Linked DNA regions of Tamandua tetradactyla. The protein of the gene in region 4 purifies or fractionates together with the protein of the main gene of each other region. This does not show direct contact. Links are inferred from orthologs where the notes say so. Each region holds a gene or a part of one and is shown on either strand. Other genes may lie near its edges.

Region 1 (7,821 bases), on a different chromosome or scaffold from region 4:
AGGACTTATTTTATCGAGTTATTGTATGGACTAAATGAGTTGAAACAGGAAAAGCACTTAAAATACCACCTAGCACTTAGTAACACTATTATAGGTGGTGAACTACTATCTTTTTACTCTATTTACAATTACAATCTTATGTTATAAGGACATTTTCTCATACAATTATGATCATCACTTTAATGCTTATAAAAGTTAATGGACATCTATTGGTTACTTAACCAGTTCCCTATTGTTGAATATTTAGACTTAGATTTTTTTTATTATTATATGCATGAAGTTGAACTAGTAAATGTTTCCATATGTAAGATCTTTTCTAATCATAGATTCTTATAAAAAGAATTAATGCATCTAATCCTATGAATATTTGTATGGCTTTTTGTACATGATAAGCTGTTTTTCAAAAACACTGTACCAATTTACACTGCCAAAAAGGCAAATCATGTTTAAATCCACTGTAGCAAAGATTTCCAAAAATTTCCAGTAGAAATTTTATAAAACAGAAAGTTTGATAGTGGGAATGACACTGAGTTATTGATATTTTGTTTGAATAAGTAGGGACTTACAAATCTTTTTTCAGAAAACACTTCAAAAAAGAAAGAACAGTTTAATATGCTAAAATTGGAAAGGACATAATCTCAGAACAGAAGAAAGCTATTAAAAGTACAAACACACTTACAAATGTCCCAACACACACACACACACATACACACACACACATATAAAACTGGACCAAAAGTTTAACAAAATAATCTTTACCCTTAATATTTGTGATGTACTCTGATATTTTTAATTCTGTTTCTTAAAAAAGAAAATGCTGGTCCCAACTCACAGGTTGCCCTCCAGTTTGAAAAACACTGCTTTTAAATGAAATATACTGTATACACCCTTTAAATTAGATATACTGAACTGCATTTTATGAGAAACTCGATTCCCTGCTCCGAATTCTCCTCATTTTGCCACAGACCAGTTAAAATTTTGTCAAGAACATTGGGAATAAAGAGACCAGGGGAATCTGGCTTAAAGAGGCAAGAGATGAACCCCTTTGCTATGTTAAGAATCTTTTCATTAGGCAAGCAATTATTCTCTAGCTTCCTTTTTAGGTTGGGATGTTCGTACATTAAGCTATTGAGAGAGGGGAAGTCAACGATGCCCACATAAACAAGGTGATATTCAAGGATGCTCCCTTGATTTGTTCCAACAGTAATTCTCTTCTAGTCATTCTCTAAGTCCAAGAGAGGAAGGAAAGCTATCTCCCCTGAGGACTGTGCTTCATGAAAGCAAAAGGAGAGAGGGTGGGGAAAGGAGCTAGCCATTTGAGTCTGGAACCTGGTGCTGGGGGGATAGGGAATGTACTGATGGGTAAAAGTGATCTCCTGCTGCAGAGGAAGGTGGAAGCAAGCTAATTTTCCAGCTAGTATTTTGGCAGGCAGTGAGCCCAGATAGAGATGATCACTGCAGTTGTTAGTTTCCAGGAAAGAAAAGTGCAGTTGCAGAGAGTTAGGAGGTAAACTGCGGTGAAGGATGGAAAGGTCTTAGTCTCCGAATGCAGAGACCATTTTGCTGAAGGAAGACTTGAGAGTGGGGAACAGACCTCCTCCTTCAGAAGGGAGTTTTGGACAGGGATTGTTTTAATTCCCTTCTTAGCACATATTACTCCGAAATTATTTTGATTATTTATTTACATGCAAAAATTATCTGACTTTCCCCATTAGAACATTAGCTCCACAAGGGCAAAGTCCTGTTCACTGATGTATACCTAGCACTTAAAACAATGCCTGACAGAAAGGATACAATAGCTAGTTGTTGAATTAATAAATGACTCATCCACCCAAAAAACACATCTGAATAAGAAAAATATCTCTGTGGTGTGAGGAAGGCACAGAGTGCCCTAAGAGGCCAGGTTCTTACTGAGGCAGGGAGACAGATGATGTGGTGGATGGAACATTGACCTAGCAAGGCAGAAGGATTAGGGTTCAACCTAGCTCTGCCTCTGAAAGGTGGTGTGACTTTGGGTCAGTCTCTTCACTTCTTCCACTTGTATCTTTAAAACAATTGGAAAGATTCCTACTCTGCCTTTATCACAATGAAAAGCATCCCTGAAATCACTCTATAAACTGAAAAATACAATTCATATGGCAAGCCATGGACTGAACATGGCTTCAAATCCTCATCTAACGACCCCAAAGCTGGTGCTCTTGGCCACTACGCCAGGTGTACGTATGATCTTTGGCAAGTTACTTCTGTCTCTTTCATGTGTGTAAAATGAGAGGGCTAGACTAGAGACCCTTCCACAGCTGGCATTTTGTGGTTTTATTATTCTGATCCATGCTCAGATCCAATTCTATTCTAGGCTATTTGATGGAAACTGGCAGGCTGGAGGTGTGGGGGGATTGAACAGAATGCACTCCTCTCATCCTCTTGGTTAGGATTTCTTTTTTAGGAGAAAAGGAAGAGACCCAAACATTCATACTCCTAGCTATGTTTGTATATTAGGACAGTTCTATCCAAACATCCACTTCTTTCACTGCTCCTATCAAAGTCCTTTCTAAGGTAGGGTTCCTCAAGGCTGTGGAAGGCACTCCCTAAAGGGCCAAATAACACACAAATGGAAGGGGAAGACCAGAGCACACACCGCAAATCTGGATCGGCTCAGGGACACGCGACAGGTAGCCTTGGGGCGGGAGGGCTGCCCCACCCCGCCGACCCTTCATTTCAGAGGCTTTTCTGAGGTTGAGCTCTGGCCTCCAACCCTCAGGCCAGTATCTTAACCTCCCCGCGCCTGTTTCCTCCTCTGCAGGATGGGGACCCGAACTCCTACTACAAGGGGCTGAAACGATTAAATGAGATAATATTTGAAAAGCATCGGGACCACACCACACCGCCCTACATTTTTGCGCCTCCACGGGAAAGGCCTGAGGGGTAAAAAGCCCCCAGTGCGCGGCGGGAGACCTGCGGTGAAGGGTTGGGGTGCAGCGCTAGGCGTGCAAACTCTAGTGGACTCTGGAGACACCGGCTCCAGGAGCGGCCCGGGACACGCCGTGGTCTCGGGCGGGGGAGGGGACGCTGAGGAACCACCTCAGCCTCGGCTTCCAGCCCGCGGGCGTCTCCCGGCCCCAGCCAAGGTTCTGGCTCCTCACCTCCGACTCCCGCCGCTGGTTTCTGAATGCTTCCCGGCCCTTAGGCGCCGCCGGTTTCCCTTTGCCGCCGCCGTTGCCGTTGCCGTTGCCGTTGCCGTTGCCATTGGCGGGCTGGCTCCCGGCCCCGGCGGCCGCTGGGTCCTCCATGAGGTTAGGATCCCAGTCGGTGTCTCCGCTGCCTCTGCCCTGGGCGACCCAGCAGCCGCGCGCCGGGAGCCCGGCCCCGCCCCCTCCGCAGCTATTGGCTACGGCTGCTCCTCGCAGCCCCGCCCTGCGGCCCGATTGGCCCTTCGGCCTTTCCGAGCAGGACTTGGAGCAGGTAGGGGGTACATATAAGGTTTTTAAAAATTTTATCTTATTTTTTAAGTCGTGCCGCGTTGCTGGTAGCCAAAGACTCCTGGGTTGGCTCACGGTACCCCCTCGCGAGTTCTGGGTCTTAACCTTAGTTATCTCTGCTTCTCTCTAGGTGTCCTTCAACCCTCATTCTGCCTCAAGCAGGTACATTTTGAGGGGAGCCGTAGTCTTCGCCTCTTGCTCCACTGCTGTCTCTGCTTCCCCATTTTCACAGACTTCTGCCCTCTCCACACCTCCTCCACACTTACCAAATCCCCTTTCAGTCGCAGTGGAGGGAGGGCACCAGGGGTGGCGAGGGACTCCCCAGAGAACAAGGGACTCGGACTTCGCCCTCTGGAGCTGAGATTTCTGAAGCGAACGCATCCCGTCCGGAGTGAAGGGTTGGCTGGCAGATAAGGGGTTGGAGGGTGGGGTGACGTTTTCAGGTCACCGAAATTGTTGGATGCCCTGGTCAGCTTTCTCTGTTCTTGTAGGGCGCCTTCTTCATGGTGTGAACTAGGCAGTAAATATTGGAGAGCAAGCTGTCACCCCCACTCTGCTCCCCAGTCCTTTCCTTTCTAAGATCCTTCCTAAAGTTTCGGTGTTACCTGAGGCAAATGAGGCTATGTGGTCTACCCTCCCAGGAATTTATGTAAAAACCAGCTTATAGTAAATAACTAGGGCAGTCTGTGTTGTTGGTAATAGAAGTCCCCAAACAAGCAACATGAGGATAGCTTTAGGAAGGGATTTGGGTGTGGTGTGGTGGTGGTGGTTGAGCTGACACTGGTCTGACATTGCAGTAATCACTTTCCTGAGACCAGGTTATCATACTCTCTGATGGGTTGATTTCACTAATCCACTGTATTTATGAGGAAACCAGGACTCAATAACCCTCACTGTTTCCAAGCTGTTGTGTTCTATCTCGTCTCAGTGTCTGCATATGCTGTTCTTTCTGTCTAAAGGAAACTTCCTGTTCTCTTGACTGATAAATTCTTCCTTAAAGATTCTATTTAGTTCTCACCACCTCCTCCTCCAGGAAGCCTTCCTCTTGACCCTCCTGGAAGCATTCGTGTGAAACTATGATCCCAAACCCTTACATTTTCCACAATATCCCCTAAACAAGTGGCCCAAAGGAATTACCCCCTATTCCCACATCTTAGGGACAACTTTGTCCCCTTCTTAAATGTGTCTCTGCCCGACTCTTCCCTTGGTTTAGTCAGTAAATGACAGATCAAGGCAGAGTCGGTGGGGGGAGGGGGGATGGAGGTTGTGTTGCACTCCTTGGATCTATCTGGGTTCCCTTCTCTCCCTGCTCTCAAATGTCTCCTTACTGTACCCACACAGTTTTCATTTCTTCTCCCACTCTGCCCTCCACCTGGATATAAGCTCCTTGAGAGTCTTGCTCATTTTTGTATGCCTCATTTTTACAGGTTTATCAGAGGGTTTTTCAACTTTCGTACTATTGACATTTTGGGCTAGATTATACTTTGCTGTTAGGGACTGTTCTGTGCCTTGTAGAATGTTTCGGAGAATACTGGCCTCTATTCACTAGATACCAGTAGCACCGTTCCCCCCACCACCGAGTTGTGACAATCAAAAATGTCTCCAGACCTTGCCACATGTCCCCTGGAGGGGGTTGGGGAAGGGACAAAATCTTCCTGGGTTAAGATCCACTCTTTTAACAGAACTGAACTAATATGAATTTTTAAGAAAGTCCCTGGCTCAAGACCTAAGCTATTTGAGTTTGGAATTTTTTAGTGGGTATAATTTGTTAAACTCTTAAGAATTCACGCTCTTCTTTAAAATTTATAACCCATGCCTAGCTCATTACTGCTTAAGTGTCATAAACCTGTCACAGCACAGCCAATGGGGGCTTCTTAATACAAAGAATTAATCATTCTACACTTCCGTCTTCCCAGTACCTTTCCTTCTAGCAGCCAGAGCTCTAGGATTGACAGGCCCAGAACTTCATATTCTCTTTTGTGAGCCTAGCCAACCAGCAGGATTCCCAGCAGAGGTAATAGATGGGAGTCACCACTTTTGAGGCTTTGTTCCTTTTCCTGCCTATCTTGGACAAAGGGAGGAGACTGATCATCAATTGAGAATAAGATTGAAGACAGCCCTCAAGTCCCCTTTGGCCTCTATTTAAAGCTAATTGTTGAACCTAGAGCTCCATCTGGCTTCACTCCTGGAAAAGGGAATTGAAAAATTGGTTCTATGGAAATTGTAAAGAATCGATATGAAGAAAGACCTTAATCCATTACCGTTTCTACACCCCAGTGGAATGGGAGACAGATCAGACATCTACCTGTTCATTATAGGCCCAGACTTTCAGAGTTGTCATAAGGAGGAAGACATCGAGAAACAACCCATGGAAGAAGTAATAAGAAACCAGATATTAAATGAAAACTTTGAAACCATGGAATTGGCACACACTCAATTTTTTTTAGCTTATTTTTCAACAAAGGAGTGACGATCATCAATACCATTGATCACAGAGTCATTCATAAACATACTTGGGAACTACTCAGAGGCTAGTCTACAAGTTCTTTCATCTTAGAGATGGATCCAGGACTGTTATTTTGAAAGCAGATGGGCCTACCCTACCAATTTCCCTTGTCCCCAAACTCAGGTATTCTAAGCCTGACAGAGGGTTGGAGATAAAAATAGTTACAGCACCAGTGCTCCATATAAGCACTTTAACCCATGGAGGTCATATACTTGATTAAAGCGACAATACCTGGCACTGAGAAAGCTTAAAAACAGGGTGTAAGAAGTCTTAAAGAACCTAGTTTGTGAGTATATATGGCAGCTAGGATTAATAGAAAAAGCATAAAACATTCTCCTCCCCCCATGAACGGCGCATGTGGGTATAATGAGGCAATGGATGCTGTAGGCCCCAGACTGAGGCAGGGAATTGATGTTTATGCAGTATATGATGTGTGCCAGGCTCTGTAAACAGCATTTTTATAAATCAGATAGTTAAATCCTTGCCCTAGCAGATAAGCACTATCCATTTTGAAGGCAAGAAAACTGAGACTCCAAATGGTTACATAATTTGGCCATGTCATACAACTTCAAATCCAAGTTAGTCTAATTCAAAGCCCAAGCTCTTTTGAGAAACTAGCGCAGCAAGCCTGAAACAAGGACCCAAAGCACCCAAATTTCTATGTCTCTAATTTAAAGAGATAAACTTTTACCTGATTCACTTTTTTCTTCCTATTGGTTGGATGTAATCAGATCCTAGGTGTCAGGGTCCTTTGGCCTCAAGCGGTGGGGATACTGACTTCTTGTGTTCTTCAGCCAAGGGCAACACACATTGGGCTTGGGGGACTTAAAGCCAGGCTTTTGCATCCCTGCCTTAAGCCTACACTTCTCAACTTCACAGCACATGATAAGGGTTCTAAGAAAGCAGGTTTTCTACACACACACCAGGTAAGGGGGATAAGGTATATTAGTGGAGTGACTCCATCCCATGGAATAAGGGTCTCAAGACTAAGTACATTCAAACATACTTATTTGTAACTGCCTCACCTTTTCACATCCTCACCCCACAACAGTCTCTCTAGTGTGTTGCCCAGAGGCAACTCCCATCTTTGTGGAATTCCTAGATCACAGAAGTAAGGAATACTCTCAAGACAAGAATGCATTTTAGGAATATTTTATTTGTCTTTGAGATTACATAGTCATTATTGCTGATCTAATACAATCACTCAGACATACAGATTTCCAAGAGCCTCTCAGAAATGACATACCTCAGAGGTCTTATTTCCTTTCAATAAGATGACAGTAAGAATTAGATGATTATTTTTTGAGATATACATATATATGTATGTATAGTTCAGAACTTGACCACATATAATTTGCTGGTGTTGCCTATTTTCTTTCCGTAATTTTCCTGTTAAAAAAGCTTAATGCGACAATGCATTTTAATTTCTTTTTTTTAAACTGTGACAAAGCTAATTTTCAGAAAACCACAGGAGCAGCAATTTCAGATCTGTTCAGAGAAAAGCCAAGCAGCAGAAAAGCTTTGCAGGAGTATATGGCCATGGGAAGCCGTGCTCATATGGAACGGTAGGATGGGGAGGTGGGAGGGCAAAGAAAAGTTGTATCAGATACAATTTTTTTTAATGAGAAAAAGAAAACAATATTTCAATTAATAAGATTTAAAAAAAAAGATCTTGGAAAGTAGCACAAATTCATTGTAGGGAAAATGGAATGTATCCCCACAGGCCAGGGCCACACACATAGAGATAATTACCTCTCTTTCCCATATTTCCAGACCTAGGATGCATCTAAAGTGAGAACTTGTAGAGAAGATGACATATTTGTTCTGATTCCAAGGGTA
Region 2 (7,843 bases), on a different chromosome or scaffold from region 4:
CCATCTCTGTTGGTTTCTACATCTATAAAATAGCAAAAATAATACCTATGTCTCAAAGGGTACCAGTAAGAATTCAAGGGCATAAAAATGATTTGCAAGAACCTGAAAACTGGTGTTTATACTAAAATATTTATTTAAGCATCTTTGCCTGGGCCACCTCCATTCACAATTCTGTCTTTCTAAAAACTTTAAGCCAGCATCCTTTTATTAGCCCTGGTCAAGAGAAGACAGAGATAAAAAGGGAATGATAGGAGACATGGCAGGGCACAAACAGGTCATGCACCTCTCTCTTCCTGTTTTATCCTGTACAACACAACGAGGTGTGTGCCTTTAATTTAACCCTCAACAACTCTTAGGGAAGGCTCCCTGAGCTGTAGCAGCTCCTAATTCAAAATTGCAAACAAACGCGCCTGTTCTTTATCTTTTGGGGGATAAGTGTGAATAGAGGAAATTTTCTATCCCAAATGGCACACTCAAAAACAGTTATACTAAGATTTATAGAGGTATTTAAGTACAGAAATGACTGTGACATAAAGCCATTTTCTAAAACTGTAACTGCTGAAAACCTGGTCAGCTTTCTTGCTAAGAAAAATTTATAAGCTCTTTCACTGAGAAAGCAAAGTAAAAAAGTTCCCTTGTAATACCACCTAGGAAATACACTTTATTTTGGAGGCAAGGTGATTAAAGGAAATCTACTGTCTTTTCCCAAGATTTTCAAATTTTGGCCCACTCCCTTAAAAAAAAAAAAAAAGAGGGCAAAACAGACAAACAAACCACTGAGACCAGATACCAAAGAGTGACCATCTGATACAGACTTCTTAGTGCAGGTCACTGGAGCTTTAAATACCTTTTCACACCGACTCACTTTCCACAAAGGTGAATTCTAAGTGAGGCATTTGTGCTAGATTACAAACTGATTAACACAATATAAAAGTCAGTCTAGAGGAAATATTCATAAAATGTATTTTTTAAAGCATTACAGGAGGTCCTTCTTGTTTTACTGGTAAGAAACTTTTTTCTCACCAACTTCATTCTGTCTCCAAATAAAAACCAAGCAGAGCTTTATGTTCAAAATCCCATCTGATAACATTAGGAATGCTTTCAATGCCATATCCTACTCCACCCCACCCTCAATGAGTATTTATATACATTTATATCATCCTTACCCCATTCCCAGAGGAAAAAAAGGTCCTTCTTAGTCAAGGCCAAACCAGTTTCCAGCAGCTCCCCTTGCCTGAGTCCTGCTTCAAAAATCCCTGAATCTCATGGTAGTAGTTATATGACTAAATATATATATACATATATATTTGCGAAAACTTATTGAACAATACACTTATAATGGGTGACTTTTATTGCATGTAAATTCTACTTAAATAAAACTGCTAAAATTAAAAAAAAAATCCCATCTGATTTTTACAAAGCAAAAATAAGCACAGCATTACGTTTTAAATACAATAAAAGAACTTTAAATGAGATTCAAGGACAGACTTTCTTCAAGCATCTTCCTAGTCACAGGCTTAAAACAAAACATTAACTGTTACTCCTTTTAAAAAAAAAAAAAAGTCGGTCTAAAATTACAGCCGCCACTAAAGTAGTAACTTTGAGTTCCTATTTTTCTAGAATTGAAACCTCAACGATGAAACCCAGTCTTTTTTGTTTTGTTTTGTTTAATGTTTTAAAAAAAAAGTCTCTTTGGGGAGGGGGGGAAGATGCCTGGCTCATAATAGAAGAGGTCTGTCTACACTGGGCTTTTCAACCCGCAAGGAGAAGAGAAGAGAAAATTACTCCACTGATATCTACATGATAATAATCCACTTGGATACTTCTGGTTATTCTTAAAGCTCTTATGTTCACTTGCTTGAGAGAGCAAAACTTTAGACATATCCTAACTGATTTTAATCCTAATAGTTTTGCTACCACCATTTGTGCATTTACAAAAATTACAAGTTAGCGAAGGAGAGTGGTTTTCTTTTTTCCAAAAGGCTAACAGTGAAAAACTTTAATGAATTAGTACAGATTTGAAACTCAATCCCCCCAATAAAAGTCAGTGGTAGGCCATGATGCCACAAAGTACCCACGGAGACACTTCTTGGGAAACAACTACTCTAAGCCCAGTAAAGCCTTAAAGGAAAAGTCCGGTATCCCGGCATCAGGTAGGAAAAGCCTGGATTGGGTCGCCCGAGTGCACGCTGTACCGTTTCTTCTTCCTGGAGGTTTACCAGCTCGCACTCTTCCCTCAGAACAAAACGCTCGGAACAAATCTACTAGAGGTGGAACTAGCAGTTACACCTTCCTCGACACCCGCCCTCGCTCCTTCCACCCGGGCTGGGCCGCCGCGGGCCAGGACCAGTCCGCGCGCGCTCTCGGCTCGCCTCCCAGTTCTTAAGTTTACCTCCCGCCCTCCAGAGAAGGCAGAAGACCCAGAAGAGAGGGGGAGGCGGGCGGGCGGGGGTCGGGAGCCTTGAGGGGCCCTTCCGCCCCAGGCCCGCATACAGGGCCCAGGGACTAAGCTGGGGCCTCCCAGGGCATTTCTTGGCATCGGCTCTCCCTGGGGATGCGGCCGACGCCTGCCCGGAGCTCAGGAAGGTGATGGGGGGAGAGGGAAACCGGGAAGGCGACCCAAGGCCGGTTCCGCCACATTCTTCCCTAACAACCGCGACTCCGGCCGGCGAAGGCCGCCTCCACCGTGGACCCCCGGCCAGACCCAGGCCGCGGTCCCTACGGCCCTTCCCCCCACGCCAAGAGGCAGGCTGCGGCGAGGGGCAAGGGCGCCCGGGATGGGAGGGGAGGACCCCGCCTGGCGCCCAGTCCCAGCCGCCCGAGCGGGCCGGGGCGCGTGTGCGCTCCGAGGGCTCTTTCCCCAGCCCCGGGCCGCGCGCGCGGAGCAGCGGGGAACACAGCGAGGGAGGCTCCGGCGCGCGACCCCGGAAGGGTGAGCGTGGGGGGGGGGGGGGGGGCTGTGTTTACACCGCCAAGTTGCCCGCTTCCGCCCGAGCCCCCGCATCCCGCCCCTCCCGCTGCCCGGGGCTCGTACCTACCTGCATACCGGGCAGGCCCGACTGCACTGGGGAGTGAGCCATGGCGGTCAGGACGGTCACTTCCTGGGACGGGACGGCAGGGCCGAAGCGGTCGGTGCGGGCGACCAGGCCCGCTGCCCGCACGCAGACCTCGAGCGACGGAGGCTACCGGGGAAGCCCGAGTCCAGCTTCGTCGGGGCCGGCCGGATCCCGAGCCCACCCTCTGCCCCGGCAGATCCCGGTCCGAGCGGCGGGGCTCAGCGGCGGGCGGCGGGCAGCGTCTCCATGCACGGTGCCGGGGAGGGGCTGCGCGGAGGCGCGTGGGGCGCGGAGCGTCGCCGCGAGTTGCAGCTGCTGCTTGGCTGGAGCCGGGGCGGCCTCGGCCCGCTTGCGCTGGCGGCCTGGGAGCGGGAGTCCGGGAGCACAACCCGCCGAGCCCGCCAGCCCCGAGTGCGCCCCGCCCGGCTGCAGCTGCGCGGCCCGCCCCGGCCCGGCCCCCGCGCCCGCCCCCGAGGCCCGGCCTGGGACCCCGCCCCGCGTTTCCGGGAGGGGGAGGAGGCTCGGCGGCCGCCCGGGCGCCTTAGTCCGCAGCCGCGAGAGTCGCCGCCTACCGGGGTCGGGTGCTGCCCGGGCCCAGCCGATTGGCTGGAGGTGGGCCGGCGGCCCGAACCTTTCCGAGGGCTCTTCCCCCGCCACTACCCCTTCCTAGTCGGCAGGGAGGGGAAGAGGAAGGGAAGGCGGGTGCTGGGAGCCGAGGGAGCCTCACTTGGGGCGGGCGCTGGGCGTGGGGAGGAGGCGACGGAGTTCGGAACCGGGGATTGGCCACGTGCCCACCGCCACCGGCCGGAGACCCGATCCCGCGCAAAGGAGAGCCTGTGCCGCGAGGGAGTGGTTTGCAACAACTCTTACTCCACCATCTTCGTCCGGCCCTCGAAGCCCTCCTCCTCTTCATCTGGCCCCGGGGAAATGGGTCTCCGCCGACCTCCCCGAGGGCAGGGTTTGGGTCAGGGGAAACTTAGATTGGGAGAGTGACCCGAGGGGCCTCAGCCTGTGACCTATTAAAAAATTCGAGGGCGGAGCTTCTTCGGTGTCTGGGTGAAACTTCAACAACCCAAGGAGGAAACCGAGAAGGGAGAGGCCAAGAGAGCCGGTAATTCCTGGTGATTTCACTACTGAAAACAGCTCGTTTTGGGATTCTAGGCGCTGTGAATTTAGCGAAGAAGTGAGGAGGTTGAACCCCACATTCCCTGGGCTCTGGACCAAGGCGGGAGCGTCTGCCTACGAGAAGGGAAAAATAGGATGGGGAGGGGCAAGGAGGAAGAGAAGACAATCCCTGGAAGGAAACCGTGTCTAGACATTTACACACACGCGCACACACACACACACACACACACACACACACACACACACACCGCTAGCTCCTGTCTTTCGACTGCCTGTGAAAGTCTCAGGCCTACTGAGCGCCAGTTCTGCCTCCACCTTTTAGCCGCCTCCACCCCAATTACATTGGAAAAATAAGGATGGAATGAGTCAGTGCTGCCTCCAAAAAGCATTTCATTTGCAATGCTTAGAGTGGCAGCCACTGAAAGGATCTGCGCGTCATTCAGAATTACTGCACCGCAGGTCTCAGGGACCCTGCACTTCCCTGACAGCCGTGAGTGCCCCCGTTTTGAGACTTCACTGTGCGAGGTTGGGCATGCTAATGAGCTCCCAAGAGTTCACAGGCTGTTGGAATAGACCCTAAATACGCAAGTCCTCTCCTGTGGTAAGGAGTGTTGAGTCTCTGAGGTGTCACTGTACTCCAAGGACTTCAGTTTTCTCGCGTTCTCTGGATCAGACAGGGCGTGGGACGCTAAAACTTCATCCCCGCCTACCTTTTGGAAATATACATACTTTTCTTCCGGATTCTTTGATACACGTTCAGATACCTTCACCGTGGTCACTAGTATGCTTCGTTGTACCTCCAGCCCTGCTTCCTTAAGTACTCTGAAGACAATGTGGGAAATACAAGGTTAAGCAAAGCTAGAACCCTAATACCCAGGAGACTACAATCTTGTGTAAATTTACTATACTGGAAAAACAGGTATAGAAAGAGATGAATGGCAAAATGGGTAAGAACGTGAATCTTAAATTTGTTCATACTCTTCAATCTAGGAATCTTACCAACAGGAACATCTCCTAAGGAGATAACTAAGAAGTGCGCACGAATGTATATTAAAAACTCAGTTCAGAGTACCATCAGGAGTTAGAAATAGGGTAAGATAATGCGTAATTGGAGCTGAAGGGATACAGACTGTGCAACAGGACCGGATACCAAAGCTCAAAAATGGACAGCACAATACTACCTAATTGTAATGTAATTATGTTAAAACACTGAATGAAGCTGCATCTGAGCTATAGTTTTTATATATATATATATTTTTTGTATTTTGTATTTTTATTTTTTTCTCTATATTATCATTTTATTTTTTTCTGTTGTCTTGCTATTTCTTTTTCTAAATCGATGCAAATGTACTAAGAAATGATGATCATACATCTATGTGATGATATTAAGAATTACTGATTGCATATGTAGAATGGAATGATTTCTAAATGTTGTGTTAGTTAATTTTTTTTTATTAATAAAAAAAAAAAATACTCAGTTCAGGGTGGGCCGCAGTGGCTCAGCAGGCAGAGTTCTCGCTGCCTTGCCAGAGACCCAGGTTCGATTCCCGGTGCCTGCCTGTGCAAAAAAAGAATCAATGATATTTATAATAGCAAGAAAAGTAGGACTAGCTTGAAAGTCTAACAGATTGTTAAATGATAGTATTTCATACAGTGGGATATTATATATTCATTAAAAATGTTTGACAATATTTAGTAATATGGAAAATATTTTCATTATATATAAAGAAAATACACAAAACAATATGTATAGTCTAATCTCAGGCTACTTCGTGTATGTGTGTGTGTGTTTGTAACTAGAAAACATTTGGAAAGTATAACATCAAGATTTAACAGTTATCACAGAACTTATGGAAGTGAGGGATAAAGTAGAAAAGATGGAAAAAACAATGGATACCTACAATGATAGATTTAAAGAGACAGAAGATAGAATTAGTGATTTGGAGAATGGAACATCTGAATTCCAAAAAGAAACAGAAACTATCGGGAAAAGAATGGAAAAATTTGAACAGGGTATCAGGGAACTCAAGGACAATATGAGCCGCACAAATATACGTGTTGTGGGTGTCCCAGAAGGAGAAGAGAAGGGAAAAGGAGGAGAAAAACTAATGGAAGAAATTATCACTGAAAATTTCCCAACTCTTATGAAAGACCTAAAATTACAGATCCAAGAAGTGCAGCGCACCCCAAAGAGATTAGACCCAAATAGGCGTTCTCCAAGACACTTACTAGTTAGAATGTCAGAGGTCAAAGAGAAAGAGAGGATCTTGAAAGCAGCAAGAGAAAAACAATCCATCACATACAAGGGAAACCCAATAAGACTATGTGTAGATTTCTCAGCAGAAACCATGGAAGCTAGAAGACAGTGGGATGGTATATTTAAATTACTAAAAGAGAAAAACTGTCAACAAAGACTCCTATATCCAGCAAAATTGCCCTTCAAAAATGAGGGAGAAATTAAAACATTCTCAGACAAAAAGTCACTGAGAGAATTTGTGACCAAGAGACCAGCTCTGCAAGAAATACTAAAGGGAGCACTAGAGTCAGATACGAAAAGACAGAAGAGAGAGGTATGGAGTAAAGTGTAGAAAGAAGGAAAATCAGATATGATATATATATAATACAAAAGGCAAAATGTTAGAGGAAAATATTATCCAAACAGTAATAACACTAAATGTTAATGGACTGAATTCCCCAATCAAAAGACATAGATTGGCAGAATGGATTGAAAAACAGGATCCTTCTATATGCTGTCTACAGGAAACACATCTTAGACCCAAAGATAAACATAGGTTGAAAGTGAAAGGTTGGGAAAAGATATTTCATGCAAATAACAACCAGAAAAGAGCAGGAGTGGCTATACTAATATCCAACAAATTAGACTTCAAATGTAAAACAGTTAAAAGAGACAAAGAAGGACACTATATACTAATAAAAGGAACAATTAAACAAGAAGACATAACAATCATAAATATTTATGCACCGAACCAGAATGCCCCAAAATACGTGAGGAATACACTGCAAACACTGAAAAGGGAAATAGACTCTTATACCATAATAGTTGGAGACTTCAATTCACCACTCTCATCAATGAACAGAACATCTAGACAGAGGATCAATAAAGAAATAGAGAATCTGAATATTACTATAAATGAGCTAGCCTTAACAGACATTTATAGGACATTACATCCCACAACAGCAGGATACACCTTTTTCTCAAGTGCTCATGGATCATTCTCAAGGATAGACCATATGCTGGGTCACAAAGCAAGTCTTAACAAATTTAAAAAGATTGAAATCATACACAACACTTTCTCGGATCATAAAGGAATGAAGTTGGAAATCAATAATAGGCGGAGTGCCAGAAAATTCACAAATACGTGGAGGCTCAACAACACACTCCTAAACAACGACTGGGTCAAAGAAGAAATTGCTAGAGAAATTAGCAAATACCTTGAGGCGAATGAAAATGAAAACACAACATATCAAAACTTATGGGACGCAGCAAAGGCAGTGCTAAGAGGGAAATTTATTGCCCTAAATGCCTATATCAGAAAAGAAGAAAAGGCAAAAATGCAGGAATTAACTGTCCACTTGGAAGAACTGGAGAAAGAACAGCAAACTAACCCCAAAGCAAGCAAAAGGAAAGAAATAACAAAGAT
Region 3 (7,816 bases), on a different chromosome or scaffold from region 4:
GGTCAGCCCCCCACCTTCTCAGCTGGGGCCATGCTTACCGCATCTCCATCTCTCAACTCCTGCATGGAATGTCCATTGAAATCCTTCACTCCAAGAAGTTCTTCCTGTCCTCAAAGAGCTTCCCTTCTCAGAAATGCACAGAACATAGAGACTCAAAATCAAGAACTCAACTGTGCATAAATTTGGACAGTTCTCTGTAGCACCCTGTGTAAACCAGCCTTCCCAGTTGGCCTGGAAGTTCCTGAAGGACAGAAACCTCATCACCTATCTGTGGGAACCCCCAACTCCAACTCCCTTGCAAATTCTTGCTTATTACCAGCCTGCTTCTACAACACCTCCCTGCTCCCAACTTTGGGGGCCTCATGGCAGGCCCTCACAGAGCACTGCCTCTTCTGCCATTCAACCCACATTTACTGAGCACGAGTACTGAGTGCACAGGAGGCCCTGGGTTAGGAACAGCCTTTTTCACAGATGCCAAGAAGCTATCCACAGTAAGTCAGAAACACATGACACCATCTGGGCCTTAAAGGCTCTCACAGAAGTTACACCTTTGGTAAGTGATCAATGCTTTACTAGAGGTGTGTAAAAAAGAGGAACTGCTGGTGGGAGCATAAACTGGTGGAGGGCAACTTGGGAAACAACCAGCAGTATATAAACACCCCTATCTCCATCTCTTCTTTACACTCACCCAGGAGTATAAGGATATTCACTGCAGTCGTTTCTGATGGTGAAAAATTGGAAACAACCTACAAGTCCATCAACAAGGACCAAGTAAACTATTGCAGTGATAATCAATGAATGGGAGGTAGTAATCAAAAATAAAGAAGAGTTCTCTGATCTGATATGGAAAAGAACACCAAAACAAACAAGTATGTGGAAAAAAGTCACAAAATGATATATGCAGTTTCATTTCATATATTAAACACAAAAATCCTCTGAACTGCCTTCATAGCAATAACAGGGTAGAAAGGCGGAGGGAATAGGGAAGGGATGAAGAATGAAAAGGGGACTCTCCCTTTACACATACACATACACATACACACACACACACACACAACACATCTGAGATATTTGAATACTTACTACTATGTAACAGAACAAAATCTAAGTACAAAGTAAGTGATGCTAGAGCCTAGATGTCAGAAAGTCTAATTGAATGCTACCCACAAGTTCCTCTCAAACTCCATGAAGGGTCTCTGAGTGAGAGAATAAAATACACATCTATTTGCCCATTAGTCTCCGAGATGAGAAAGTGGTGTGGTGGGTGCTGTGGGGTGCTCTAGCATGGAGCCCAAGAGACTGGGATTCAGTCCAGGCTCTGCTGTGACTGCTTAGGTAACCCTGGGGAAGTCGCTGTGCTTCCCTGGGCCAGTTTTCGCATCGTACTGAGTGACAGAGAGGTATAGAGCAAGAGTTTGAAACCACTTTCTGGCTGTGATCCTAGATACATAATTTACCCTTTGAAAGCACTGGTTTTCTCTTCCGATTATTTTAAAAAAAAAAAAGGGGGGGGGGACAAAAATCACTTTTCTCAGAATGTTACATTTAAACGCTAACATGTCCATAAAGTGTTTATCACACAGCCTGGCATAAAACAAGTGTTCAGTAAACAGCAAGTGCTGTTATAGATACCTCATGGGGTGTTGAGATGATCTGATGAGATGTAAACTAAGAAAGAGCTTTGGAAATAGAGCGTGGGACACAAAAGTGAGAAATGCTTTATTCCTCTCCTATTCCAGCCCCAAGCCTCAGTTTTCACACAACCAAAATCCCCGGTGTAGGTGGGAGAATTGTGGGATGCAATCTCATAACCCTGAATTGGGAAAGGAGGCTTTCTTTCTATATCCTGTAGACAATATTCTACTCAGTTATTTATTTGGGTCCCCACATCAGCTAGATAGAAAAAATCAAATCAGGAGGGGTTACCAGAAGCTGGTACTGACAACTTCTGCCAGTAATATTCGAGCCCAGGAACCCTCAGACTCCTCATGCCCCATCCCTGAATCCCTTCAAATTCTCTCATTTCTGATCCCTAGACTCCTCCAGAGAGTCTCTGCAAATGGATCCTACACTTGCCAAGGTCATAGCAACACAGCTCAAGTTCTGACTCCTGTCTACATCACTCTAGGGCACAACCTTCTCTCAAGCTACTCCACAAACCATGGATGGGTTCCTTTCCCAGAAACATCCGCAAATGCATCTCCCCCCAGGATCCTTCTAAGATGCTTCCTCCTCTACTGCCTTTCCAAATTCCTCCTCATTGTCACCATCCCAGATTCCCTTCTCTCCGGTTAGGCATACCCCTCCCCCCCTCCCCCTCCTACTCCCACCTCCCGACTCCAGCTCAGGGTCCTCTACCTGACACCCTTCACACACCTCCCAACTCACAGCCATCCCCCTAACACACACACACACACACACACACACACACACACACACACACACACGCACGCACCCCCAAACTGGAGTCTCTGCTCTCAAGCACTTCCCCACAGGCTCTTTAGGGTGCGTCCTCTGTCCTGGCCACACTTCCATCCCAAGGACTCTTTCCCACACTCTGTGGCCATACATGCCAGGGATCCCCAAAATTTCCCCTCCGTAGGAGGAGGTACACACCTTCACCCTGGGATCCCTCAGAAGTCCTGCCACAGCGATCTTCCAGTTTCGCCGGTCCGAACGCTCCGAAACACACCCCATCCCCAGGCTCGAGGACTTCTTCTCCCGGTTCCCCGCTGGGACTCGCTCAGCCGCTCCGACGTCCCCTCCCACCCACCCGGGGCCCATCAAGCCCCATCTCAGACCCTCGGCTGGTCCGGGAGTGGGGGTGGGGGGAGTCCGTTGCAGTCTTCTGCTCACTGCCATGCAAGACCCCTCGGGTTTTTCTCCGACCCCTCCAACTCCCCTCGTGATCCTTTCCTGAGTTCGCTTAGGTTCCCCACCCGCCCCGGGTCCCCTCCCCTCAGGACCCGTCCGCCGGTGCACCGCTCACTGCTACACGCCGCTGGTTCTGGAGTCCTCCCGCCCCCTTCCTCTGTACGGCCCGGCCGCTCTCACGCCCCGGGCCCCCCCAAGCCCGCCGCCGGGCCCTCTCAGGACCCTCCTCGGACGGCCCCCCACTCCGTCTCCGAGCCGGTCGCGGCCCCCTCCCGCCCCCCCGGCTGTCCCGGCGGCCATTGCTCCAAGATGGCGGCGGCGGCGGCGGCGGGTGAGGCCGGGCCGGGCCGGGCCGGGCCGGGCCGGGCGGGGGTCGGGGGTCCCGGGGCGGCACTCACCTGCAACTCGGCGCGCTCGGCCTCCCAGCGGGCTTTCTCGGCTTCGAAGCGTGCCCACTCGTGCTGGATAAAGTGCAGGATCCCGGGCAGGCTCAGGGGCTCGGGTCCCGCGGTGGGTCCAGGGCTGCTGCCGCCGCCGCCTCCCTTACCTGCCGGGCCCGGTCCGGGGGCAGGGGCAGCGGCCGGGGCCGTTCCAGTCGGGCCGGGACCCGCACCGGAGCCGAGGGGACGGCAGGAGGAGGCGGCGGCGGCGACCGCGGCGGCCGCTCGCTCCTCCATCATGGAGGCCCCGAGGCCGGCCCGCGCGCCCGCTGTGCCTCGCGCGCCTGCGCGGCCGCGCCAACCGCCCCCCCCCCCCCCCGCCTCCCGCGCGCGCGCCCGGCGTGGGGCGGGGGGGCCGGGAGCGAGAAGAGGCCGGGCGCGAGCCTCGCCCACCCGGGTGGACCCCTAGGCGCGCGCAGGGAGGGGGCGGAGGGAAGGGGCGGGGCAAAGAAGGGGCGCGCGCCCCGCAGAGGGCAAATGAGACCAAGGCCGGTGTGCGGCTCGCCCCTCGGAGCGGGAAGACTTTGGGAGGGTCCGCTTGCTGCCCCCCTCTTCCTACTTCGCCCGAAGGAAAGATTGTTACCCTGTCCAGACCCAAATACCACGCCCCTTGAAAATCACTTTCACTCTTGGAGAGAAAGGGCGACTACCGGGGTGGTTTCAGCAGTGACCCCATCCTCTGATTCCTGGCCCAGGTCGGTTGCCATAGTAACCCTTACCAGCCTAGAGCCCCTCCTTCACCTTTGTGGTTATAGAGCCCCACACCTCTCCGGGCCCTGCACCTGGAGGAGGTTGCTAAGGTAACCTAAGTCCCTGGTGGATTCTTCTACTCCTACCACATCGATTACTATGGCAACCCTCCTCACCTAGCACTCAGGTAAAAAGGACCCCAGCCTCAAATAGACTGATCACTGAGAAGCATCTCTTTTCCCCAGCCCCAGGCTCCCCTCCCCCGGCATAGTGCACTCTGTTGGCATTACCATGGTAACCATCTCCCCCCACTTCCCATCGTGGGAGGCCCAGTGGCCAAACCCAGCCAGGTGTTTTTATTTAGAGAAGACGCTCTGAAGGACAGTTACTATGGATACAGGGCCTGGACCATCTCCTGGGAGGTGAGAAACAAGCAAGGCCAAGTCTTGGTTACTCTGGTAATGGGGGAAGGGCAGCCCCTTCCGGTGATCCTGGGAACCAGGCCCACCAAGGTAGGGGACATTTAGGATTGTCTCTCTAGGTGGAATGTGTCTAGGGAAGGCATCGGCATGGTAACAGCTTCCATACCTTTCAGTTCCACCTTTCTGAACACATTATGGGGGGCGGTGGGGAGCAGTGGAGGCACATTACAGGTTGTTATGGTTACTGACATCCTACCCATCCCACTCTATCCCCTTCCCGAGACCCGCCAGGTTATGCCTGAGCTTATGGGGTTTCCAGAGAAAGGATTTCCTGACGCTCTAGTCACCTCTTGTAGGTAAAAATGAAGCTGTGCACTGTTCTGCAGATTGGCTGATTTGGGATTTTCTGGTTCTTCCCACAGCAGTGCAGCTGAATCGGGCAGTAACTGCCCCCCTGGAGTCCCCCCAGCCAGCAGCCTAGTAGGTAAGAAGTCCCTCAGTGTCACCAGCACTTTACATGGAAACTGTCCTTTCCTCGTCCCCAAAGGCTTTCCCATGCGCCTCTTTCTTTCTCTACCCCTCACACTCCCATTCTACAGAAGCAACAACTGAGGCTCAGGTCAGTGCAGAGCTCAGGCCTGGTGAACCCAGTCCCAAAGCAAGTCTAGATCCACTCATGTTGCTCTGTGGGGGGTGGAGAGACAGATGTCTCAGCTTAACTCGCCTTTCCTTCCTTGACTGCCTTTTCTAAAGCAACCCCCTAGTTTTTCTCTATCACAGCCTCTTGCAGGTTTCCTGCCCCCATATGTAATTGTGTGATTTTTTTCTGTCTCCTTCCCTCCTTCACTCCATTTCCCCAGAACACAGTGCCTGGCACAGAGGGCACTGAAAAGATATCTGTTTGTAGAGTTAATGAGTTGAATTCATTAATGTGCCACATTCAGTTTTGAAACCACCTCTCATCTTAGGGCTGGGAAAGGGACACTGACGGTAGACTGAGGGCAGGGCTACCTGCATGGACCCAAGAAAGACAGTGGAGTTTATTAGTGTAAATCACAGTTTCTGGAGCCAGCATCCTTGGGTCAAATCCTGGCTCCTCTCCTTCCTAGCTGTGTGACCTTAGGCAAGTGACTTCACTCCTCTGTGCCTTGGTTTCCTCATCTTCCAATGTAATCATAATGTGAGGATTAAATGGGTCAATAGGTGTAAAATGCTTAGAAGAGGGTCTGGCACATTGTGAGTTGCTAGAATTGTTGGTATTATCATCACCCTGATTCAGGAAAATGGAAAACATTTGGACCTTCAAAATTGTCATTATGTCTGCCTGGCCCCATTGAAGGGGTTTTAGCCCTTATAGTTAGGGAGGCCAAGACGAGCCTCGTCAGGGAACTAGAAGACTTTCTTTGTCCTCTCTGGTCCCCTCACCCCCTCACTGGTAGATAGCACCTCTTTATCTGGGTGTCAAACCAGCTAGAGTCTGAGGACCTGGTTTGGTCCTGCTCAGTGACTCCTGCCCGAGTCAGCTAGACAGAGCCTGGGCAGCAGAGACCTGGGTTCTGGTCCCTGCATCCTTTCCCATCTTTGAGCCACAGTCTCCCCATCTTAACAATTCAAGAACTTCATTCATTCCACCCACATTTTATTGAGCACCTACTGTATGCCAGTTACTGAGCTCTGTGCTAGGGAGAGCCCAGGAAATAAAACAGAGAAAACAGATCTCCACCTTCAGTGGGGACTCAGCAAGTAAACAAGATAGATAAGTAAAGTCTATGGGAGAAGTACTAGAGGGGAAAAATTAAAGGAGGGATGGGGACAGGGAGTCTGTGGAAAGAGGTTAATAAATGTTTAAATAGGGCTGCTAAAATGAAAGGCTCCCTGGACAGGTGACATTTTGGCAGAGACCTGAAGGCTGTGAGAGGAGCCACGTGGATACCTGGGGGCAGGGAGGAGCCACGTGGATACCTGGGGGCAGGGAGGAGCCACGCGGATACCTGGGGGGAGGGAGGAGCCACATGGATACCTAGGAGAAGGGAGGAGCCAGTTGGATACCTGGGAGGGGGGAGCCACGTGGATACCTGAGGAGAAGGGAGGAGCCACATGGATACCTGGGGGGAGGGAGGAGCCACGTGGATACCTGGGGGGAGGGAGGAGCCACATGGACATGGGGGGCCACATGGATACCTGGGGGGAAGGTGGGAGCCATGTGGATACCTGGGAGGAGGGAGGAGCCATGTGGATACCTGGGAGGGGACAGCACTGCCACAGGAGTGATCTGATCATGTCTGCAGAATGATGTTTGGTGAGGCGTGGTGGGGGGCAAAGCAGAGAGGGACTGGGCAGAGCAGACGGGGCCTTGTGGGCCATGAGGAGGACTTGGTTTGTCCTCCAGGTGAGGCTTAAGCCACAGGTTTAAGCAAAGGAGGGACAGGGTCTCACTCGGATTTTAACAGGATCCCTCTGGGCACAGAGCAGTGAACAGACTGTAGGGGACCATGGCAGAAGCAGGAGGATGGTCTCTTGCTGTGACCTTCAAGGACATGAAGATTCTAAAACTAAGGGTCTGACATTCTGTGCTTCTAACTACCTAAATGGTAAGATTCTAAGACCCGGAAGGTTCTCTGGTTCCAAAGATTCCTTCCCCAACAGTGTGACTCCCACGAGGGCTGGGATGTGGTCTGCTGTCCTTGTGCGTCCACTGCTGTCTCCCCGGTGCCTAGATCAGTGTCTGGCATGTTGTAGGAATTCAATAAATACATGCTGAAGAGATGAAGGAAAGAAGGTGGGACCAATCTAAGATCCAGAAGGCAGTGCCAAGGTTATAAAAATTAGAGAATCGCTCTTCAAGTGTGACTTGGGTTTTCAAGCGCCATCTGAGTTGGGTCCAGGAAGGGCAAGCAGGACTGGGAAGGGCAGAGAGGTGGGAGGGCATTTCTGGTAAGAGAGAGAGAGGAGGCAGGAAGACCAGATCCGGCACACGGCACACGGCAATGAAGTCAGAGTTTGGCTCCTGGGACCTGAGTGGGTGCTAGGATAGAGCTGCCTTGGCCTTAGACAAGGAACCCGGACTCTGGCCAGCATTTTCCCACCAAGTGCAATCTCACATGCTGGGGACCCAGTGGTGGCTGAAACACTCCCAGCCCTACCCTCCTGGGGTTCACAGTCCAGTGGGGAGACAGATTCATCCCCAGACAGCGACAACCGAGGGTGGGCAGGGCTGGGATGGGGAAGCAAGGGGCGACCTCTGAGCCAAGGTTTGAAGCCTCAGTAATTTTTCAGGAGGAGGATGGGAAGAAGGGGGCATATGAGAAAAGACTTTTATATACGAGGGAACAGAATCTGCGAAGGTCGAGAAACAAGACATGTTTGGGGGAAAGAAAAGTCCAAGGTGGC
Region 4 (8,092 bases):
ATAGGACACCTCAACTTCTGGCTAATTGTTATTGGTATTTTCATTATATGCTGCTGACTGATTTCCTTTCTTAAGAGAAGTTTTAATTTTAAATCCTGAGTACACAAAAAACAGCAATACATTGCAGTGACATGATAGTGCTGACATACCTTCCAGACTCCATGAAAACTCCCTGAAATATTGTGAAGCTAAAGGAGCAACAATCTTACCTCTAATTGGGCTAGTTTTTCCTGAATCTTACAAAACTGGTCATCATCTACCTGAACAGCTTTCCTCATCACTTCTCCCATTTCACAGATTCTGTCAATCTGACTCTCAATTTCCTGTGAAGATATTAAGAAAAAAAATAGGTGAAAAAATAACCTTTTCTATAGATATGAAGATCATGATGGGCAAGGGTGCATTATGATTTTTAAAAGTTCATTTAATCTATGCTATAGGAGTTATATTGCTATTTCACTATAATCTGAGTCCTTGGAGATAAAGCCATAATGAAGTAGCCTTACGATGTTCAAAAACAATTTTTGTTTTCAAAAGATCAATTCTAGTCTCACCACCCTTTGGATGTTAGAAAAAGCTGTTTAATCTAAATTTGAACACTTATTGATGGGAAACTTACCACATTCCAGGGTGCCATTTTCCATCTTTGGACATCTTTCTTAGATAGCTTTTCTATATCAGCTAAACTCTGTCTCATTCAAGTCTCAATGAATTGGTCCTAGTTTTCTCCTCCAGATCAGAGACAATTTATTTTCCTTTTCCATATGGAAGACATTCATATATTTAAATAGGCTATTCCCATTTCCTGAGACTTTTAAAAGTCAGTAAAATGTTTTCAGTGGAATCTAAGATGAAACTTAACTTTTACTAAATTGCACTGTAACAAACAGTGGAGCTCCAATCTATTAAGCCAAGATTAAATAATCTAGTATATGTGAATATACTATGATAATTATAAAACACTCTACAAATATAAGAACAATTACTGAGTCTCTCTAATTAAATCATAAGTATTCTAAGTCTAGAAACTATGTTACATATATTTTTTTAAGACAACACTACTGCCTTGTAACAACCTTGTATGATGCTATGTAGTTCAGTTTAAAAAAGGTTTATGACTGCCTGTTGTGTGCAAGGTATTATGCTAGAGGTAAAAGATGAATTCATAATTCATATTCCTTACAATCAAGGAGCTTACAGTTTGGAGAGATATTCAACCAAGTGTTTACTGAGCACCCTCAATGCTAAATGGCACTGTGGTGGAAGAGCTAAGCATTCATTAACACCTTGATAGGAGATCTTGGGGTAGGGGAACCTTCACCCCACTCAAATAAAGGATCTAAGTTGCCTTGCCCCTTTATCCCCTTCTTTTCATTCATCTTTTCAAGGCCATAGCAAAATAAACAGTGGATGTGATGAACATTAGTGGAAAACAAGACTACATTTTCTTCTAAAACAAGCCCCAAATTTAAAACAATTTCTAGATTTCAGTTCAGTTCATTTAGAATTTACTCATCAAAGTTTCTTACTGCAGAGTGGGACTGGTGAGCTTTGAGGACTGGTTCAGCATCCACTGCTTTCTTAGCAACCATTAACTGTAACATCTGTTTCCGGTACTTGCTCATGATGAGTTCCAAGGCATCTTGGTGTTCCTCCAAGGAAACCCATAGCTCTATCAAAAAGTAAAATAATTTGGCAGTGAAGACCCAGTGATAGTTCCCAAAGCCAATCTGTTAACAGGTGGAATTTTCCATAATTTTATGACAATCTGTAAAATAATGTGAATCCAAAGCTGTAAATCAATGATTAAGTCCACAAAACTGAACAGCTAAGGTCTATGTGAAAAATAACTTCCTAGGCAGACAGCATCATTTAATAGAAGAAATACAGGATGTGGAATCAAAAGACATAGGTTTGAGTTCAGTTCCATGACTAATTAGTTTAATAATCTCAGGCAAACCATTTAAGATCTGAGCCTATTTATTATGTGCAATCTTCTAATAATAAACACCTGGCTTGCCAACCTCAAAATGAAGACATAAGAACACAATATGATATAGGTTAAAGCACTCTGTAAACTGATAGACACACTATTAATATTACTATCGTTAATAATGTACTCATTAAGTCCAAAAATACATAAGTGAAGATAAAATTTTTTCTTCCACTTTGCACAAGATAAAAAATTTCAATTTTAATATTAATGTATATTCAATTGATATTTAAATCTTAAATTTTAAGTCCTTGATGGTAACTCTTTCGTCAGGCAAGCCTCCGTCCGGGGTGTCTAAAAAAATCATGCAATATTTCAATTCTATTAGGCATCTCTTTGCTGAGCTGTGTGTACATACAAAATCAGTCAGATGACCTCGAAAAATTTAATCTAACAAACTTTATTGTTACTGGGCCTGCACACGGGGTAACTCTTCTATTAAAGGTATCGACCTGGAAATACATATAGGATATGCACTTTTGTGAACAGTTAAGACAGTTCTGCAAAAACTTTTGAACCGTTGCTGGATATGAAAAAGTCATAACTACACAAAAAGGTCCGACTAACCTCTGTTTTCCTGTTGCAAGTCTCTAATCTGTGTGTTCTCTTGGGACAGCAGAACGTGTGGTTTGTATTTGGACACGTCCTTCATATCGGATGCATCCTCTTGACACTGGACAGAGACAGACAGACTAAGTGCGCCGAAAACAGGGGCAGATGCGACTGAAGGAAGAGGCAGGCGTCAGAGGACCGGGAGAGTATTCTCAGCCCCGACTCCAGAGAAGTCTTTCTCCCACCCTCCTGAGAAGGGGAACAAATTCCACGCCGGGTTCCCACTTTTCCTAGCCCTCCACCCTCAAGTGTCCAGAACCCGAGGACATGACTCCCATCCTCTGCCTGACCTGGTCCGGAAGCGCTGTCCCAGCCTCCCGCATAGCTGCCACCCGCCGGTGCAGCGCCGCCGACTGATCCACCAGCGATTCGGCGGCCGCATCGTGCTCCCGCAGCCTCTCCAGCAGCGTTTTGGCATCTGTCAGGATCTTCTCGATCGTGCAGCTCATAGCGGCTGCACGACCCGCGTATCAGGCCCTGCTCACCAACGCGATTCGCTCAGTTGTTGCCGGAAGCACTTTCTGCCTTGAGGCGTCACTTCCGGGCACGTTTCGCAGGCGTCTGCGCACTGGCGTTGTCCGCGCCCGGACCGGTTTCAGCCTGCGGCTTCTCGGAAACTCCGCCCTGAGCGGAGCCACGCCCTTGATTTCCTGTTCTCTCAGCTCGGTGGCCTGATTGAATTGTGGCTGAGCGGCTCCGGTTTTTCTCCATATATATGTATATTCTGTTTCAATTCAGTTAATAAGTTGAAAGTAAATTTAGCCAAAACAACAATGACTTTTGTATTGTTACATTGGTTAATAAGAGTTTTCCTTGTCAAGCTTGTATGTCTTTGTTCTTTTTCATTCATTAATAACTATTTTTGGAGAGCCTTTTCTGGTCCAGACACTGTTTTGTCCTGGAAATGCAGCAGGGAATAAGACACAAGGTCTCTGCCCTTAGGGAGATTATTTTCTAATGAGAGAAAGAATTTATACTCTAATGAATATTTTAAGGCAGTGACAGGATGATGAAGGAGTCTGATGAAGGAGTGTCAGAGTGCTAGAGGTCAGAGAAGCAGGGGGAAAGGAACTGGGCTTTTGGTCTTTGTGTTCACAGCAGCTGCCACATTGTTTGTTGAAGGGAACATGGGGAACAAGCTCAACAGAAATAACAAATCAGGGTCACTGACCAACAGGAAGACAATTAATGCACTCTGCAGAGATTTCATTCATTCATTAAAACAACAAAATGCAGAGATTTCGTTCATTCATTAAAACAAAAAGACGTTCCCTAACTGATCTCTTTTCATGCGTTTGGCTTTGACTTCAAATGGTTCTCAAATCCATCTCTGTAGCACAAATCTCTTTCATGAACTGGATTATTCCACAGGGACAACCTACAGGCATCACAAATTCAGCATGTACTAGAAGTGATCTGATTATCTTTGCCTCCAAATTTGCTTGGCCATCATTTCAGTAGAGCACATTCATGCATCATTTCCCCAAAAACAGAATCCTGGACGTTATCCTTCATTCTTCCCACTTACTTACTCTTCATATTTAATCTGTTTCAAAGGCAGTGTATCTCCTTTGTATCTTTAGGACATATTTGCTTCTTTGCATTCTCATTACTCCTGGGTGGTTCAGGCCATCATCTTTTCTCACCCAGGTCTAAGGATGGTCTTCCATCTGGTCTTTTCCCAACCTCAGGTCATCTACTCTGATAGCTCTCCCTAACCGACACCACAACCTCTGCTACTTCTTACAGTGGAGGATAATTATTCTATGTCCTATCCACTTTAGGGTTGACAACTAGACTGGTAGTTTTACTTCCTGAATGATACTTCTAAGCACTTATTCTCTCATGTTGTGTAAAATCTCTTTATTTGATGTTTATATCCCACAGATGAAGAATCTTCTGTCGCTCCTCTCTGTTGTTAATTACTGACCTTCTATCTTGGGTATTCTTCTTTATTCCTAGAAGATTTTAGGAGTTGGCTTATGGTCTTTTTAATTATGCCATATTTTGCTCTCATGTGAGTGACATCCATGTCCATGTGGACAACTCATCTAATGCTGTGTCTTTTCTTGATCTTCTGATTTGTAGAGATGTTTATTTTGGCTTAATGTGGCCACATTCTGGATCATTTTCCAAGAATTGTCCTGTGTAGAAATTTTAGGGTTTAATGATTAACTCTTTGACTATAGCTTTTCTGTCTGTCCAGTTCTTGCAACCTTATCTCCCACTACCATTTCATTTACTTCATCCAGCTCTTCAGTTTCTGAATCTATCCATATTCACTCTACCTGCATTAATCAGAGTTCTACAGAGAAATACACCTGACAGGATATATAGATATAAAATATTAAGAAAATTGAGGAACTGCTCATGTGACCATGGAAATTGAGAAGTCTGAATTCTGAAGGGCAGGCTGCAAGTTGGAAACTTGGTGACTATGAAGTTGAATTCCCCAGGAGAAACGGGGTAGCTGAAGCAGAGATAGAAATTCTTCTTTCTGACTTCTGAAATCCTCAGTTCTTACTTTAAGGCCTCCAACTTATTGGATGAAGAGACTTATCTCATTACTGAAGAGAATCTCCTTTGTTGATTGTGGATGTAATCAGCTATTGACGCAATCAACTAACCAATAATCTAAATCCATCTTCAAAATCCCTTAAAGTAACAATCAGGCCAGTGTTTACTTGACCAAACAACTGGACACCATAACTTAGCCAAGTTGACACATGAAATTAACCATCATCCTACCTATCAGCCTCTTCTAATGGTCTAATTTTCCTTCCCTCACCAAACTGGACCCTTGTGATTGGTAGTCTGAACCATGATTCAATTAGTGGGTAAAAAAGAATGCAGCAATAGGGTGCATTTTTATTCCTGTTTTTGTTTTTACGAGAAAGTCTTGAGCATGTTTTTAGGCTTTGTAGGGGAAGGAGCCATTAGGGAAAGTGATACAAGAGAGTAGGGAGACAATGGAAGGAGCAAGGACCAGGAGGAGATGGGACAGGGTAGTTAAACACTTGCTGAATATTGAATAAAACAATGGGATTCCAGATCAGGAATACAGGTGAAGCAGCTGGATTTGAACAGAATGAGGGACATTTCATTCTCCATAATTGGAGGGGAAAAGAATAGGTACAAATATGAATAAGCTTCAAGATGTGGCAGCATGAAGTTGAAAGTTTTAACCTTTGAGCCATTTTCAGTCTTCCACAGCCCACCCACCAATAAACCAATAAGTTAAGCTTGGGTACTTTATTTTTTTGACTGCTTGTTGTATTTTAATGTGTATATAAGACAATTACACCTAACATTGTTATGAATAAAAGAAATCACATCAGTCATCAAGGGCTCCTGAATGAACAACATTTTCTTAACTTCTATGTTTATCATCTTTACTTTCTAGGTATAATTTAATAAGATCATCAATTTGAAGAATAGTAATTGCAACTTCTGTTGCAAACTTCAAACTCTTTATATTAACTATAGTAGGTTCACCCCTGCTTGTTTATTGATTGAGGTTTACAAGCCCAGATACTTTTAATATTGTTTGTGGAAACCACACAAATTACCCAAGATCTTTGATTTTTCTGGCTTATTTCTACTATGATCTGATATCCCACATGGCCCCTATTTTTTGGTTCCATTTCTCTCTATTATCTCTTTCTTGCCCTTTGGCCATTTAAAAAGTGAAACCAAAAGAGGTTCTACTCTCTTCTCCTACATGCATAGAGGTTAAAAACAAACAAAACCTATGATGGATTTCTTAAACAAATAATTTAGTCTCATTCAAATTAATAGGAGAGAATCCAATAGCAGGCATTTTGGGTATTCCATCTGTAGCACAATGGGTGGTCCTACTTATGAAACCAAAATTACCTCCTACTGGGCTAGTTGCAGGACCTTGAAGCTACTTCTTGGAAAGAGTGGAAGGAGCAGTTCAGTCCAACCCCAAACTCCGATTAACAATGGTAGAATAAGTGCAGTAGCTGTGCCTGTCTTTTAATGAATTGGTTATTTGTTTATTTTTTAAACATTTCTTCATTCAATCTGTTGGTACTTATCTGGTGTGCCCCAAATTTTTCATGAGTATGCTACCAAATTTTGATATGTAAGTAGACATGTGCAGATTTACTTTTACTAAACAAGATATGCAAAGACATTCTAGCTTATTTGTTTTCTATAAGTAATCTGTATTTTCTGGCAAGCCCCCATTCCCATCCTACTAGGAGCTATGGGGAAAAACCCAGCTTTTGGTTGAGTCTGATAAACTCAGTATGGTCTAATTATTTAACAGTTCTTCCGAGTTCCACTGAACTTCAGTTCTTCTACTGCCCTGTAGATTTCTATTTCTGTCTGAATTTCATTCTGCATATAAAGGACTCTAGTAATAGGGTCATGACCTATCCTGATTGGGCTGGGTTACACCTTAACTGAAGTAATCACATCAAAAGGTCCTACTTACAATGCGTTTGCCTCCATAGGAATAGATTAGATCAAAGCACATGTTTTTCTGGGGTACATACAGCTTCACACCACCAAAACAAGTATTTTTTAATAAAGAAGACCTGCATTTAGAAGTCTAGAAATCTGGAATTTCATTATTCAGCATTATAAGAGAAAGCAGCACTGAGGAGTTCAAATTTTACAAGAAAAAAGAAATGATAAATAATATATAATACAATAATACAAATTTTACTAGAAAAAAATAAAAAATAATACATCTGTACTTCCTACAGCCCCAAATGGGAAGCGTGACAAAACACAATTCTACTTTGGACTTCAATCTAGGACTTTAAGTCAGAGAAGGGGGTCAGACCTATATGCGCTTGTGTCTTCTCACAATCTTTCAATTGTGAGAAGATTTTTCATTTGCCTTTTCTCCCAATCCACACAGACAAAAAGGACAAACACTTTCTTTCCACTTCCTTTCAGTCCTGGATACTTCCCAGATATTCTCTTCCTCCTTTCCTGGGGCTGTAAAAAGCATGGAAAGAGATACCACCAAATTGATTAGGAAACATAAATTAGAGATATTACTTGTAAATGTAACATTTGATATTTAATTATGGAGTTGTCAGCAGAAACATGGAGCTAAGTAGATTATGAATCCCAGTGTGGTATAGTGTACAGATTGATTTAAGAGGCAAAGTGAAGTACCAAGCTGACCCCAAAGGTTCCTGAGTCTTCAATACAACCTGGATTAAGGCTGTAAATGGTTCACTTCATAACAGGGGCCCACCTAAATGCATAGGCATTGAGTTTTAAGAACCCAAAAGACTTGTCACTTCTGCCTTGATCCTGTCTGATTTGATGTGTTTCTGCAGTACAGAAACATACATTCAACACTGTAGTAGGTCTCATTTTATCAAATGAAGAGCTACATTATAGTAGATTCTTGGAATTTTAAGGTTTAGCATTCATGATCTTTGAGCATTCCCAGGTGATTATGATGGTCTGTGATGTTTGACAACCTATAATTTCACTGAA

The links.
Region 1: the proteins of SIKE1 (region 4) and STRIP2 purify together in Homo sapiens (affinity purification with mass spectrometry; 3 studies listed by BioGRID and IntAct, with this or other methods). This does not show direct contact. The link is inferred for Tamandua tetradactyla from reciprocal best matches to the Homo sapiens genes SIKE1 and STRIP2.
Region 2: the proteins of SIKE1 (region 4) and STK24 purify together in Homo sapiens (affinity purification with mass spectrometry; 4 studies listed by BioGRID and IntAct, with this or other methods). This does not show direct contact. The link is inferred for Tamandua tetradactyla from reciprocal best matches to the Homo sapiens genes SIKE1 and STK24.
Region 3: the proteins of SIKE1 (region 4) and STRN4 purify together in Homo sapiens (affinity purification with mass spectrometry; 3 studies listed by BioGRID and IntAct, with this or other methods). This does not show direct contact. The link is inferred for Tamandua tetradactyla from reciprocal best matches to the Homo sapiens genes SIKE1 and STRN4.

The regions. Positions count from the first base shown.
Region 1 is NC_135327.1:170,910,570-170,918,390, reverse strand, and holds the start of STRIP2 (striatin-interacting protein 2), read right to left. Parts: upstream 3,335-7,821; 5' UTR 3,288-3,334; coding exon 3,141-3,287; intron 1-3,140. UniProt on the Homo sapiens protein: Plays a role in the regulation of cell morphology and cytoskeletal organization. Required in the control of cell shape. Calmodulin-binding scaffolding protein which is the center of the striatin-interacting phosphatase and kinase (STRIPAK) complexes.
Region 2 is NC_135330.1:167,460,151-167,467,993, forward strand, and holds the start of STK24 (serine/threonine-protein kinase 24), read right to left. Parts: upstream 3,469-7,843; 5' UTR 3,081-3,468; coding exon 3,039-3,080; intron 1-3,038. UniProt on the Homo sapiens protein: Serine/threonine-protein kinase that acts on both serine and threonine residues and promotes apoptosis in response to stress stimuli and caspase activation.
Region 3 is NC_135342.1:14,478,257-14,486,072, reverse strand, and holds the start of STRN4 (striatin-4), read right to left. Parts: upstream 3,572-7,816; 5' UTR 3,555-3,571; coding exon 3,273-3,554; intron 3,206-3,272; exon of another isoform or gene 3,178-3,205; intron 1,475-3,177; exon of another isoform or gene 66-1,474; coding exon of another isoform or gene 39-65; intron 1-38. Other genes in the region: ribitol 5-phosphate transferase FKRP, read left to right, coding at 4,395-4,426, 4,849-4,910, 6,877-7,017. UniProt on the Homo sapiens protein: Calmodulin-binding scaffolding protein which is the center of the striatin-interacting phosphatase and kinase (STRIPAK) complexes.
Region 4 is NC_135337.1:6,543,576-6,551,667, reverse strand, and holds the start of SIKE1 (suppressor of IKBKE 1), read right to left. Parts: upstream 3,143-8,092; 5' UTR 3,055-3,142; coding exon 2,896-3,054; intron 2,667-2,895; coding exon 2,561-2,666; intron 1,673-2,560; coding exon 1,530-1,672; intron 324-1,529; coding exon 210-323; intron 1-209.